Lytechinus pictus: one gene and its partner. The protein of the gene in region 1 binds, or shares a complex with, the protein of each later gene. Links are inferred from orthologs where the notes say so. Each region holds a gene or a part of one and is shown on either strand. Other genes may lie near its edges.

Evidence for each region.
Region 2: the proteins of GPI transamidase component PIG-T-like (region 1) and GPI transamidase component PIG-S-like are in contact, whole or in part, in a cryo-EM structure (PDB 8IMY), measured with the Homo sapiens proteins. The link is inferred for Lytechinus pictus from reciprocal best matches to the Homo sapiens genes PIGT and PIGS. Residues at the interface, in NP_057021.2 of Homo sapiens: Pro26, Arg27, Val63, Ser64, His65, Tyr66, Arg67, Lys71, Gln75, Lys79, Tyr80, Val133, Gly136, Lys191, Leu193, Pro194, Cys195, Ser196, Lys198, Ala199, Glu270, Pro271, Pro273, Leu274, Tyr526, Ile529, Cys530, Cys533, Val536, Ala537; in NP_149975.1 of Homo sapiens: Thr9, Glu12, Val13, Gly16, Ala19, Ala20, Phe23, Thr230, Pro238, Lys239, Tyr244, Ile247, Glu248, Val251, Gln256, Val270, Asp271, Ser272, Gln273, Ile274, Tyr276, Tyr277, Met279, Ser309, Arg310, Ser313, Ser314, Ala315, Ala316, Phe513.

What each region holds. Positions count from the first base shown.
Region 1 is NC_087246.1:41,755,638-41,763,569, reverse strand, and holds the start of GPI transamidase component PIG-T-like, read right to left. Parts: upstream 3,018-7,932; coding exon 3,001-3,017; intron 2,720-3,000; coding exon 2,661-2,719; intron 2,265-2,660; coding exon 2,155-2,264; intron 1,637-2,154; coding exon 1,355-1,636; intron 1-1,354. UniProt on the Homo sapiens protein: Component of the glycosylphosphatidylinositol-anchor (GPI-anchor) transamidase (GPI-T) complex that catalyzes the formation of the linkage between a proprotein and a GPI-anchor and participates in GPI anchored protein biosynthesis.
Region 2 is NC_087245.1:38,640,875-38,647,795, reverse strand, and holds the start of GPI transamidase component PIG-S-like, read right to left. Parts: upstream 3,002-6,921; 5' UTR 2,894-3,001; coding exon 2,857-2,893; intron 1-2,856. UniProt on the Homo sapiens protein: Component of the glycosylphosphatidylinositol-anchor (GPI-anchor) transamidase (GPI-T) complex that catalyzes the formation of the linkage between a proprotein and a GPI-anchor and participates in GPI anchored protein biosynthesis.

The sequences.
Region 1 (7,932 bases):
CCGGAGAATTTTATTCTATTTGAGAAAAAAAAATCCAGAATTTTCTTGGTTGACATCAGGGCAACCATGGCGGGACTTTCAGGTTGCCCACTGGTAGTTTTGGTTGCCAATGGCACCCAGGCAGCCGCTAATTTCGAGCCCTGCCCTTAACCCTATCTAGGCCGGGGTATTTTGGAAGTTCATATGGCCGGGGGGGGGGTCCTCCCAGCCCCCCCTGTGAGATCTCGGCCGTTGGCCATGCAATCGCACTGAAAATTGGCACGCAGGTTGTCTGGGATATAATGCTATTTATTGCTATAAATTATATTATACAAATTGCTATTAAGTGATTATGCTAATTATGGGGGGAGGGGGGGGGCGGTCCTCCCAGGCCCCCCTTGAGATCTCGGCCATTGGCCATGCAATCGCGCCGAAAATTGGCACGCAGGTTGTCTGGGACATAATGTACAATATTGTATAGTAATTTATTTCATGCAAATTGCTATTAGGGTTTATGCTATTATTTATGCGTAATTAGTATGTGAAATCATATTTTTCCCTTAGCTCCCTAAATAAAGCTCAAAATGTTCTAATTTTTGGTATAAAAAACGTTGTGCTGTTCTTAGCAAGTGTACATTAAAAAATTGTTATATCAGATCAATTTCTTATGTATTATATTGTTTTTTGCAATTTCTTATGTATTTCTTTGTTTTTTTGGACCTTTCGCTTTTCATTGTTTTTACAATGAAATTTGTAGGGGACTCTTCTGAGATCATAAACAGCATAAAATAAATACATTTAGACTGGCAAAACTAAAAATAATCATACATTTATGATTTTTGGTTGAAAACACAGTTTGCATTGACTTTGTACACGAAATCATGTTTTTAAGCAAATTTTTGGTCTGACATGCACTTACATAATGTTGCGTAATTTCGGAACGGCGTACCTGGATGACACAAAACTGGTCTCAAAAGTTGTACAAGACTTGAAAGTAAAAATTCAGCAAGCGACGTGGTCAAAAAATTTCGCACGGCGAAAATATTGCTCGAATCACAATAGTTGCACTACTACAAGTTCTCATGGCAAACAATACAGGTTATGAACCCGTGAAGAACTCTTAGCTTGCTGGCCCAATGCCCGCGAAAAAAATGCAGGTGCCAAAATCACGGCTGCACAGGCTGGTTATGTGACTCCGCGATGGCCGCAGGGGTTCTCTATTGATATACAAATTCAACCTCATGAACTTCACGGCATGAGAGCTCAGATATTAACGTCTCACCTTACTAAATGAAGTATTTTGGTATAACAATGTACAAAACTTACATAAACTGAAGTAAAAGTGTTCATTGAAGTTGAATCCAAACAGACTTACATAATTCTTTGATAAATCCACGATTACCCTGCTGCTAGATGCCATTGGACATGGACCACTCAAAACCTTCCCAAACAGGACTCTCAAAGAAACATCTTGGCGAGTGCCTTGTCTGTTCTGTGCCAAGGGTCCAAAGACAACATTCAGTGATTGACTGAGCTGTACTGCTGACTCCCTACAAGGGATCATTCCTGACCGACAAACTGGTCGTATATCGACTGCCAAGGAATGATAATGGGCATTGTACAACTTATCAGCTTTGAAGAGTGATGCCAGACCAGCCTTCCAAGAAAAAAAAAGATGAACAAGTTATCAACATTTTTTTATAACATCGTGCACCATGCACATCACAGAGTTGTTTTATACTTTAAGAGAATGAATATATATATAATGCAACAGAATGTATTTCTGCTTAATTCCTAAATTTACATTCATAAATTATTCCTTAAAGAAAATGTTTTCTTGTATGGCTTTGTAGATATTAGAAAATATGTCTACAAGGCATCACTTTGAGGAATTCACAAACTGTAGATAAATGTACCCTATAAAATTCATTCAGCCTCTTGGAGGCATCTCACAAATTTGGTGTAGCAAGCCAGAAATCAGTCCTGACTAAACAAGAATTTCAGTCCACTCTTTCCTGAAATACTAGGATTATTCTAAAATCCTCAAATATACAAGGATAAATATCAAACACACGTTATTGAAATCCTGCTTACCTTAAACCTATAATGAGATACCAATATTATACAATAAATAATACATGCACTTTTAAAGCAAAAATTAATTTAATCACATACCTTTGAGTCACAAGGAAGCAGTTTTTTCCAGGGGGTCAAGTTCTCAGTGCATACCACCTCACGTGGAAGACTGGCATGGCGAAGAAGACTTGTGTTTCTACCATATGCTTCTGTGTACATCAAATTAAATTGAAAAAAAAAAAAAAATTTAATTCATGCAACAGCTCATACAAAATCTTTTACAGTGTTTCTATGTAATATATTACAAGCATGACTTGACATTTATACGTTGTAACATAGACCGAATAAGACCAAATGGCTGCTAACTAAGTGACAGTATCTCCCTAGATACTTCATTATCACCATATATACCATCTCTCAATCATATATTTCATATTACGTTGATAGTTCTTACTACCCTTGTTGACTTGTAACTAATAATATTTATCATGTCTTATAAAGGAGATAAATTTGTTAATAAATCCAACATTGAGACCAGTGGAAGATTCAATATCTTGAACGATGAACTGGAAGGTGATGCTGCCGACCCTACTGGCCCAGCTAACCATGCTGCACGCTCCACCACTTCCCCTGGCCATACCTCAGCTTACAGTCCATCTTAAAGCTGCAACAGACAATTTCGAGAAGATCATGGAAAAGGCAGTCAAGTCAATGCAAGATAGCATAAAAAGAACCAGAGGACCTTGGAATTTGAGAGTCACAGAATAACTGAATTAAAAGGGAAAAACCTGGACCCGGAGAAGCACCTTGAATAGCAAGAGAAGGCAAACCAAGTGTTAGAAAAGAGGGCTGCTAGCCAAGATGATGAGATGAACTTAGCTGAATGTATAGTAAAGAACGACACTCAGTCAGTGAGTGTCTTATTTACGAATGAGGCATACTCACCTGTCCCTGTTAAACATTGCTATTCACCCCCACCCCACCCTCAACAACACTGGTAAGATCTCCCACATAATTTCTGCATGCCCCTGGCACATACAGCGTGCAACCCGTCAGGGTCACCTTGTGACCTACATCCCTCGTCACTTCCTCTTTCACGACCGCGCGCCCTTCCAACAACACATAAGTGCATTGTACAGGTGATAAAATGCAACTTTTGTGCCTCTAATTTTCTTTTTCTTACACCGCTGCCGATGTCTGAGTTCAAATCCGCCTGATAAAGAACCCAATATTGCAGTGGGCATGGAAACCCCACCAAGTACTGAACATGAGAACACAACCTCGCCGGCGGGCAGAAAAAACCTGCCAGCAGGCACAGAGAGCGCGGGTGCGTTGGCTACCCGCTCAAATTTTGTCCCATCATTGCCCCGGCCTAAAAAAGGGAGTAGATTGGAAAAAATATCCAAGGATTGACCTATCGCTAAACGTCCCCTTGTGCAGGCTGGGAATGTCCCCCTGGCGGTCTCCTTCCCAGACCCTATAGTGATATGGAGACTTCGATGGCTATTTATACAAGCCGACCATGTACATACCCCCTTCCCCGTAACTACTTGTAAGTTGCATCGAGCGAGCGGAGGTGCGGACTGGCCTGGACGGACGTACATCAACACATTATTTCGAAATTTGAATCGAGCTCAGCCTAGAGTACAGGGTCAGAGACCAGACAAGAATTATCGAGAACAGCAAAGATTTCACGGTTCGAACGTTGTAAATTATTCTATACTATTGTTTATACAGTACTTACTATTCGTGCTAGAGTAAGAATAAGTATACTCAATTTGATATAAAACCAAAAGAGTAACAAATCATGACGAAAACCTCAATTTGAGAACACTATACCTCAGTTTCCCTTCTCATCAATTCTCTTCTCCAAGTAAGACAAAGAGGCTGTTCTCACTACGTTCCTAAAACTAGTTTACTGGGAACCGGTTCAGAAAGCCAGTTTGGAAGATCGCTTTGCTAGCGTTCTCACTTGATCACACGAAAGTGGTTTTCAAAATCACTTCACGTAAAGCGCTCTTGTTGCTATGGAAACGCTCTCAGTGGGGTGACACGTTTCGCGCGAAATTCGAAACCGCAGCATAGGCATTCTACACCTGTCGTGTGGAGTAGCGCGCTCAAAATGTGCGAAGATCGCTTCCCGAAGAACGGTTGTGTCCTCACTTACGCTAAAACCACTTTTCCGATGCGAAGCGATCTTGAAAACTACATCGCGAGGTGGTCTTCCAAACTGGTTTGGAAGAGCGCTTCCAAGAGCGCTTCGACCGTTCTCACTTAGCGTTAAACTAGTTTCCACTAAACTAGTTTCAGGAACTGAGTGAGAACAGCCTCATACCCTAACTGTACCAAGCAAGCAGTTTAAGTATCAAAACACCTGTTTCTTGACCTCGGTCTGAAGATAACACAACAGCCCGGCATATACAGTCACAGCAGGGGGCCACACACGATGGATTGCGATGTGTGTAGTTCTGGTGAGTGTCTAATACCCCTTTCATAAACCCAATAAAACATATCCTCCAATTAGCCGCCTAAGAGTAATGCGGATAATTCAATAAAAATTGCGTTCACAAACTCCATAAATTATTTTTACGAGCGCCCGTCTTGAAAAAGGCGGATAATCGTCATGACAACTGGACAATAATTTTGCTGATTAAATAGTCAAGTACAAACACTGCCTGAAACAATTATTGGCAAAGCACGAGAAGACTGAAAATATAGCAGGTCAATGGAATAATGTATCATTGAATGTTCCAAATAATATCTACAACATTTTCATGATCCATAATAGGGGCAGCCCTGATTTTTCCGAACCTATTTTTGGCAATGTCCCGTACCACACATGAAAGTGCAAAAGTTTTTCCTACAATTTTTTTTTTGATGATGCAATTTCACAAAATCAGTTTCTCTATCTTTGACCCATGGGTGATCGATTTATCCCATAAGGATCTAATTACTGTCCTTCATTTTTCAATAATTGTCCTATTAATAGTTGTCCCGTACGACACACAATACATAATGCATTTAATTACATGATTTGGATTCAGAAACTATAAATAGTAGACCTATTTTAATTCAAGTAATTGATTTGACATAAAGTGTACTGAAAAGGTACTTTTTTTATCTCCATAGAACATGAAATAGGTGATTCTAACCATTTTAATTGATTTCATGTAGGCGTATTCTTTTTTGAATCCCTCCAGCTAAACTGGTGATTTTCTTTGGTCAGAGCAGGTTAATTTCTTTGTCATTGAGCGTGAAAAGAAAACCTTTATAATTGATTCACCCTAGCCTGGAAGATGACTTCCTCTTGCATGCTAATGTGGAATTATTATAAGATGTAAAAAAATTACATATCAATCATCTATTTGGACTTCCCTTGATGATCACTTACTTTTTTATATACAATATTGAAACTCCTTACTTTTTTCAAGTTGTAAAAAAAATCTGGAAAATAAGACAAACCATGTTGTTCACAAAAAAATCTGGAAAATAAGACAAACCATATGGTTTCATGAAATGCAGAAAGGTTTGAACAAGTAGAAAAAAATTTCTTTAGAAAAATATATTTTGTGGAATTACAAGTGACAGTTGTCATGTATATATACATTTTATATGAAAAATTATAACATTTTAGCCCCATAATTTACACAAACAGTTTCATTCATTCATTGTTTAAATAGTGTATTGGAAATCATCAATTAATTCACTGAATATAACTTCACACAAAACCTCAAGTTTTTCAGCCCGTAAAAATGCTGTGAACCCTTGTACATTTCCCATCATGAAAATAAAATGATGACATATTGCTTCCGATTGTATATATTGAGGTTACTTAATTATATTGTCCTGAATGACTACTTATTAAAAGACTTTTCATTAAAAAGGAAGAATTTAGGGGCAATGCTCCCCTTCTGATTAATAAAAAGTTCATTGTTTTATTCAGGCTGCCGAGTACAACACGCAAGTGCCTGTACAACACTCAAGTGTCCCGTACGACACACAAGTGTCCCGTACGACACAGAAGTGTCCTGTACGACACACAAGTGTCCCGTACGACACATTATTTTGTTTATGATAATTGACAGAAATATTCAGCCAATAGCGGTTTCTAACATAATGAATGTCTTTAGTTTGATAGGATTATCATTATCATCAGCCAAATAAAGTGATTGAAGAAGTCAAAGAGACATAAAGTAAGAAAGTTTGGCTTCAATTTAGAGATGTCCCGTACGACACATTTTGAGTGTCCCGTACGCCACAATGTTCTCGAAAATTGCAATTTGCTTTATTTATTCATGAAGGATTATTTTGCTTTCTTTCATAGATGTGTTTGTTCTTGGGTAATTGAATATCAATTTGAGTTCAGTTTCTATGAAAATTATCTGTCCAACTCACAGACTTTAGAGTACAAACTTGAGGTTTCTAAAAAAGTCACTTTTTCTGCGTCCGTACGACACATTACTATTTTAAATCTGTATTATACAGGATGTGAATTCAAGTTATGTTAAGTCTTTGTTTTTCTAACACTCTGGTAGTACTTGATGATCACCTTTAGTTACTGGAATATATTTAGTTTTTCTTGTCAAAAAACTGTCAAATGTTCTCTAAATGTCCCGTACGACACGTATGGAATCACCCTTTACATGAATATGTCAGTTGGCCCAAAGGAGCCGCCATATTCAACTGCTAATACCCAAATGTTCTCCTTATTTGATAAATCTGCTGCTCTGAGGTCTGCTTGTTTGGAGCCGAGGCAAGGCCGAATAGAGAAAATGGTTGCCCCACAGAATTGGGTTTCAAGAACTTTAGGGGCTGCTGAAGCTGCCAAAGTGAAATCACCAGTAGTTCCCAGGTATATTTCATCCTGGAAATAATGCCTCAAAGAGCAGATGATATCTGTAAAGTAAAGACACCCAAACTATACATTCCCTCAAATGCAAGAGGGTTTCTAAGTGTCCACATATCCACAGGAACAAAAAATGAATGATTGAGTCCATGGTTTATGCAGATTTTCTGTATAAATTACGTTTATTTACTGCGTATATTAAAAAAATGTCCAATGCTGATGCACGCTTTTGTTACAGTGCGCCAAATCGAAGCCTGTTGCCGTGGTTATCCACACTAATTTATTGTTGAGTCCACTGTTTTAAATAATGAGTCAATTCTTCAAAAAGTGGATTCATGAATAAAATAGCATATCTTACCATGGTAACAGGCGTCAATTTGGTGCACTGTGACAAAAGCGCGCATCAGCATTGGAATGTTTTATACACGCGCCCGATACGCGCTAAATTAAGCGTAATTTATACAGGAAACTGCATAAGCCATGGATTCGACCTTGGTTTTCAAAACCACCTTTGTGAATTCGGGCCATTTTTACTTATTCAACACAATGCCTGTCATCACTGCAGTACTATCTTGCACCAAACTTTAAAGCCCTGCTCACAACACTAACAAATTTTTTCTGTTCAATTTCTCTATGACACACTTGAGGGAACATTTTGTGCAAATTTTAGCAAAATTCAAAGGGGTCAGGTTAACAACTCTCTGAAAATCAGGTAATTTGATGTGGATTGACCCAATTACTAATGACTTACTTCACATTTTTTTTGCAAATAATTCGTCAGAAGTGCCACTGATGGAACAGACTGAGAACATCTGTCGTCCCCCAAACCAAACAAAAACTTCTGCACGAAGTCCCATGTGTTTATATATTGCCATGGGTAATCTACATCTAGAATTTATATCAACTTGAAACAGATGTCCAAGGCAATGTAACAAAGGGCAACAATCGATGAGGCTTGCAGGCATTTCATTGATTTCAAAGAGGTGAGAAGGTGTTTCAACAACAGGTATAATAATTATTTCTGATGACTT
Region 2 (6,921 bases), on another chromosome or scaffold:
TGTTATAATTTTATAATGACGCTTAAATATCGAAATCAATGTAGACGAGTCTGTGCAGGGGCATAACAGGGGTATATAAGAGGGGGCATATATATATATATATGTGGAAGATAAAAGTTACGTAATGTAGGTCCCGAGCACTAGCGTACCTACGGGGGGGGGGGGAGCAAGGGGGGGCAGACACTGCCCCCCCCCCCCCCGATGAGTCACAACCCATGCAAATGACGTATCCCTGCCCCCCTGACGAGCTTGAAAAAAAGTATTTAAAAAAATGGTCACTAAAAATAAAATACTGTCATTTTGTCCGTGTAATATTTGGCAAGCCCCCCCCCCCAGGTTAACATAAAAAAAAAAGTGAAGGTCATTTTGTCCTGCGTGAAATTTTAAAAGTAATAAAAAGCTGGTCACTAAAATTGAAGTTCATTTTGTCTGTGAAATATTTGGCAAGCCCCCCCCCCCCAAAAAAAAAAGGTTCTAACTAAAAATGATTGAAGGCCATTTTGTTCCTCTTAAAATTTGTCAAGTATAAAAAAAAAATCACTAAAAAATGAAGGTCATTTGTCCCACATAAAATTTGGCAAGCCCCCCCCCCCCCAAAAAAAAACGAATGAAAGGTAACTGATAATGATTGAAGATCATTTTTTCTTGCGTAAAATTTTACAAAAAAGTGTGTCACTATTTGGCGAGCCCCCTACCCCCCCCCAAAAAAAAAGGTTTAACTAATAATGATCGAAGGTCATTTTGTCTCTCGTAAAATTTGACAAAAAAAAGAAGTTGTCACTAAAAAAAGAAGGTCATCTTGTCCTGCGTTATATTTGGCAAGCCCCCCACCCCCCCATAAAAAAGTTTGTCACTAAATATAGAAAGTCATATTGTTCAAAGTAAAATAAATTTGAGAAGCAAAAAAGGGCAAAGAATATGAACAAAATATCCCCATTACAAATATTGCTGTGATTCTCATAAGGGAGCTAGGTGGGGGGGGGGGGGGGGACATAACTTTGTATGAACGACATATTTTCTTTTTTACATCCAAAATATTGACTATGAATCTCAAAAGGTGGAACAGGCCAGAAATGCTCAACCCCCCCCCCCCCCGATCTGCCACTGATTCCAATCTAGTATAATGACTTTTCTCTGCAATACTGATGCTTGAAATCAAGATACTGAAGATTGATATATTGTAATATAAATTATGAACGTCTGACAATAAGATAACCAACCGATAACAACCGATCACCTGACCGATCAGCTGACCAGTACGTGAATCACATCGGAGTTGATCAGTCCTCACAGCGTTTGGAACGCTCACCAAGAATTCAAGAAAAAAGACTGAAAATGTAAGTTTAACCTCAATCCATTAACTTTTAAACATTGTAAAAGATTATTTATGATGTTTAAAACTAATTCATACCAAAAATTTTACCATCCAATTTGTATTAAGGCGTACATTTGCCAAAGTCCTTGGGTGCAAATAGAAACGGCAATGTCTAACCGGTTTTATCACTTATGTCGCCTATGAGGTCCATACATGTAATGTTTGGACCTCATTGGTACTAGGAGTGATTTTACCTCCTATGACCGAAATTGGTGTCAATACACCATTTGATTAATTTTCTCCCTCATATATTTTCATGTGCTTTTGTATATGAACGTGACACAAAATAAAAAGGGGAATCACTGAAAATAACTAAAAAAAGAAGGAAAGGAAGGAAGGAAGGAAAAAAGAAAGAAAAGAAAAAAAGAAAGAAAGAAAAAGGGAAGGTGAATGAATGGGTGAAGGAAAGGATGAAGGAGAGAAAGAAAAAAAAGGAAAGAAAAGAGATGAATGGAGAAGAAAGAAAGAATAAAGGAAAGAAAAAAAAAGGTTTCCTCCATTCTTTGAAATCAATAAAGAAAAAGGGAAAGAAAAGAACAGGAAAACGAAAGAAAGGGAAAATGAATTAATGGGTGAAAGAAAGAATGGAAAGAAATAAAAAAGCCGGGGGGGGGGGGGGGGGAGGAAGAAAGTAAGAAAAAGAGGAGAAAGAGAGAATGAAGAAAAAAGATTTCCTGCATTTTTTTTAAGAAAAAAAAGAAAACAAAGAAAGAAAGAGAAAGAAAGAAAGAAAGGGGAATTTCAGGAAGGAAGGAAAAAAGGAAAGAAAGAATAAGGAAAAAGAGAAGGAAAGAAGATACAGAACGAAAGGATGAAACTTTAGTGGAAGGAAAGAATGAAGTGAAGAGAGAATTTTTTAAAAAGAAGAAAATAATGGAAGAAGGAAAAGAAAGAAAGAACAAAAACTTCGGAAAAAGAAAAAGGAGAGGAAGGGAGAAGCCAAGGAAGCAAAAAAAAAAATGAAGAAATTTAAAGAAAGAAGGAAAGTACAAGAAAACAAAGCAAAGGAAACAAAGAATAATGAACATAGAGAGAGAGAAAAAAGATCAGGAAAGAAAGCTAGGAAAGATTGAAAAGATAGATGGAACAAAAAAGGCAAGCGGGAAAGATAGAAGAAAGGATAGAATTAGAAACGAAAAAAGAGAAACTTCGCCAGAAAGAAAGAAAGGTAGCAAGTAAGGATTAAAAATTAAGGAAGGAAGAAAGAAAAAGAAAGAAAGAGGAAGCATGCAAGCTGGGGTCCCGTGATCCTTTGCGTATATCCATTTGCGATAAGGTCTAGGCCCTACTCTATAGCTAACATATGACACACAAAGTCTTAATTTTTAAGTTTAACAACTTATTACAAGAAAGACGCGCATACGTTACACCAATCTCCACACATGGGACCGAAGGTCACTGAGATACTGATTGGTAGCTGGAACTTAATTAATCGACACTAGAAAAAATATTTAACAAAGTTATAATTTTATCTTATTTACCTGAACTCTCCTCGCGTTCTGACCCTTGTTTAGCCATAGTTGAGGAGCAAATAAATGCTGAATCAGCAATTTACGCCAAAATTTCACTCAGAGTCTCACAGTCTCAGACTCAGACTCGGTCAAATCTACAAATTTTCCAGGCGATACCGGTATTGCGCGCGCGCGGCCGCGGGTACCCGACTACCCGATATCGCGACGACCGGCGTCGTCTGCTATTAGCGCATCTTTTTTTTTTTGGGGGGGGGGGGGATATTGTAGCTTTTGTTGTGTTTCCAGTACTTTTGCTCTAATCTTATTTTCATACATTATTTTTTATCGCATATCTTTGCATTTTTCTTCTTTGTAGTCTCAATGCTGCATGAGAGCTAAGGCCAGAGATAATTTACTTAAGTCCACCCCAGAAAAAAAAAAATCAATAATAGAGAAAAATCAGACTAGCATAACTTTCAAAATTTCATCAAAATCGGAGGTAAAACAAGAAAGTTATGACTTTTTAAAGTTTCGCTTATTTTTCACAAAACCGTGATTATGTACAACTCAGTGACATGCAAATGAGACAGTCGATGATGTACTTCACTCACTATTTCTTTTGTTTTTTATTGTTTGAATTCTACAATATTTCATTTTTTACAGTTTTGACAATAAGGACCAACTTGACTGAACCATATAGTATTAAATAATATGCTACTTCCACATGATCATGGAGGAATTAATCATTGTTTCACTTGACAATGAGGAGATAAAATATTTCACATTTCATAAAATAAAATACAAAAGATATAGTGACGTGGATGACATCGTTAGGTTCCTCATTTTTATACCGACCAGGATGTGCATATAACTGTTTTGTGAAATTAAGCGAAACTTTAAAATGTCATAACTTTTTTCAGTGTTATGCTTGTTGGAACGTTCTCTTTTTATTCAAATAAACTTTTTGATGGGGTGGACTTGTCCTTTGATTGTATTTGAACTAAAGTGAGTAGGCCTAAATGAACGGAATGATCAATGAATAAATGAATGACTGACTGACTGAATGAACAAATGAATGAACGAACGAGTGAATGAGCGAGCGAACGAAGAAACAAATGAACAGACAAATGAACAAACGAACGAAAGAAAGGAAAAGAAGAAGAAGAAATAGATAGATAGATAGATAGAAGATAGATAGATATAGATAGAAAAATAGATAGATAGATATATAGATAGATAGATAGAAAGATATATAAATAGATAGATATTAAATAGATAGATAGATAGATAGAAAGATAAAGATGGTTGCACCTTACATTTGCTCCGGCGAAAATTGCTCCGATGGAAATATCTGCAAGTTATAGCCAAACATAAAATCCAAACTCCAGAAATAAATAAGTTTTGAAATGTTGTGAATTAAAAAATTATTCCTTAAAGGAGAATGAAACACTTGGAGCAAGTTAGCTTTTGTGAAAGCAGAAAAATCAAAAAATAAGATCAACAAAAGTTTGAGTAAAATAGGACTAGCAATAAAAGAGTTATGAGCATTTGAATGTCGAGATCACTAATGCTATGGAGATCCTCCCATTGGCAATGCGACCAAGATCTGTGATGTCACACACGTACAACTCTCCCATTTGGACACTGAAAATATACCCCAAAACATTTCTTTTTGCTCATTCTAATCATATGACAAACGATTCATCAATGATATAATGTTGTGAAACCTCTGTACTTGTCATCTCATAAAGAGAACACCTCACCTTGTGATAGACTCTATAAAAGTGAGAATATAAGTGAAATAAGTACCAAAGTAATGAGGGAGTTGTACGTGTGTGATATCACAGATCTTGGTCGCATTGCCGATGGGAGGATCTACATGGCACTAGTGATCTCAATATTCAAATGCTCATAACTTTCTTATTATTCATTCAATCTTCCTCAAACTTTCAACAAAATGTTTCTTTGATTTTTCTCTTTGATATGGATTCAGCTGGTTTCAAGGGTTTCATTCTCCTTTAAATCCCGGGAATATAACCATAAATATGCCGTTCGGGTATTAATTGCACTCGCATGATTTATTAAGGCTCTGCTTAATTGAGAGTAAAGCTGAGATATATCAAATGTACTCAAAAAGTTTATAGGACTGCATGCATGCATGCCCCCTCGAAAAAACTAACCCCAAATCAGCTGGATGAAAATATCTTTCTGCTACCTCCCCCTATTGGCAAAAGCTGGATCCGGGCCTGGAACTGAAAATATATTCTATTCCCTTAATTCTACTATCTTCATTATCATATCATCACGTGACGGCCCTCTACCGTGAATATAATCCAGGCTATCCGGGATCAACACCCATGCAGTGACCCACTCCTCCTTCCCTAGCCCTACCCTTGAGGACCCCCCCCCCCCCGAGAAGAGAATCCTATCCCCATATATAGAGATATATTATCAGTATCTCTCATAGAGATATGGGGCCTATTGCACGAAAGGGTCTTTGCAAGAACCGTCTTTCGTGTCGCCCATTTATTAAGATGCGCCATGTGAATTAAACGCATTTTAAATAAATTACCTGCAAACATATTTTATTCAAATCTTTATTTACATAATGATGTGCTATATCATGAAATTGTATACAAATTGATTTAAATGCTAGCAAACAAATTTTATTTGTTTATCGTACATTTAAGAATTATCCAGCATACAGTGCGTCATAAAAGATGGGCGACACGAAAGACGGTCCTTGGAAAGACCCTTTCGTGAAATCGGCCCCTCTATAAAAAATCCCTCTGACTATCCCAGATCAGAAAGAATATACCATTTCCTGAATATCACGTGACAAAGAATATTAGCATGTGACAAGGACCTTTCGATCGATCACGTCACGTACGTCTGCTGCGCCTTTTGTAGATCAATCATGGGCAGCAAAATTGTGGGAAGAAATGAGATAGTTTACATTTATTTACATTTCGAATGTTGACATTGTTTGGATGATATACAGAGATAAAACTTTGACTGTAAGAAGGGAAACAAACAGATCCGGTGAGTTAGTAATAATAAATGGCAGGTGCACATTGAGGTTGGAATTTCCGCACCAGCTTATCCTTTGCTCCGCCATGGGCATGGCCCATGTCCGCCAGGCCCTGCCCCCGGCTCTGCCCGTAGCCTTGGCCTGGGAATACGGCATTGCCATTGGCCTTGGCCTGAAATGAAATGGCCAAGATCACGATCGCGATCATCACAACATTGTGTGACTGTGCCATATTAATTTGATTATGGGCATAGACTGAAAAAAAATAAATGCTCGGATGAACATTTATTTTAATTTATTAAATATTATCGGGCATGTTTGTTTGTAGTACTATTGTACTTGTAGACCAAAACTTAAAACAAAAATAAAAGCTTCTGTCTCTGTTATATTTGTTTGGCTGAAGCTCAACTCCGTTGGCTCCACTCACTAATTATTACAGAGACTGAAGTTCTAACTCGATCTGTACAGGGACTCAATGGCCATATGTTTATGTATTAAGTTCAGATAAACCAGGGAAGTGGGAGTTGCGCGACAGCCGAAGCAAGTCACTTTTTAAAGTTTTTTTCCTTTTAATTTAAGTTTATTTTTCCCCATTTTGGTGCATTTCAGGCCAAAACGAAATAATAATCTTAATTTTGGTCCAGTTCTTTTTGTATATTTTTATGAAATAAAGACAAAAATCTATGAATGAGCCCCGTTGGGGGATTTTGCATTGTTAACCCCCTAATGGCAGCTGCACGATCGCGAGCCGTCTGTGTATGAGGAGAAATTAAAAAAAAATGAAAATGTTAAAAAACTCCTCGAAACAGACGGCTGCCAGCTGTAGTTTGTTCGTAACTAATCATGCTAAGTAATTGATGAGCTGGATCTGGGCATTTATTCAGTGAACAAGGTTGGATCTTGGGGTATGACTTAACTCTACTTAGAGTCGCACTTACTAACATTTATTATCGTAAAATAGCCTTACAACAGACATACTGAAGCTTTTAGACATGCACTCATCGGATTAAAATCCCATGAATGACTAAAATGCTAGAGCAAAACAATAAATAATAGATATGGAA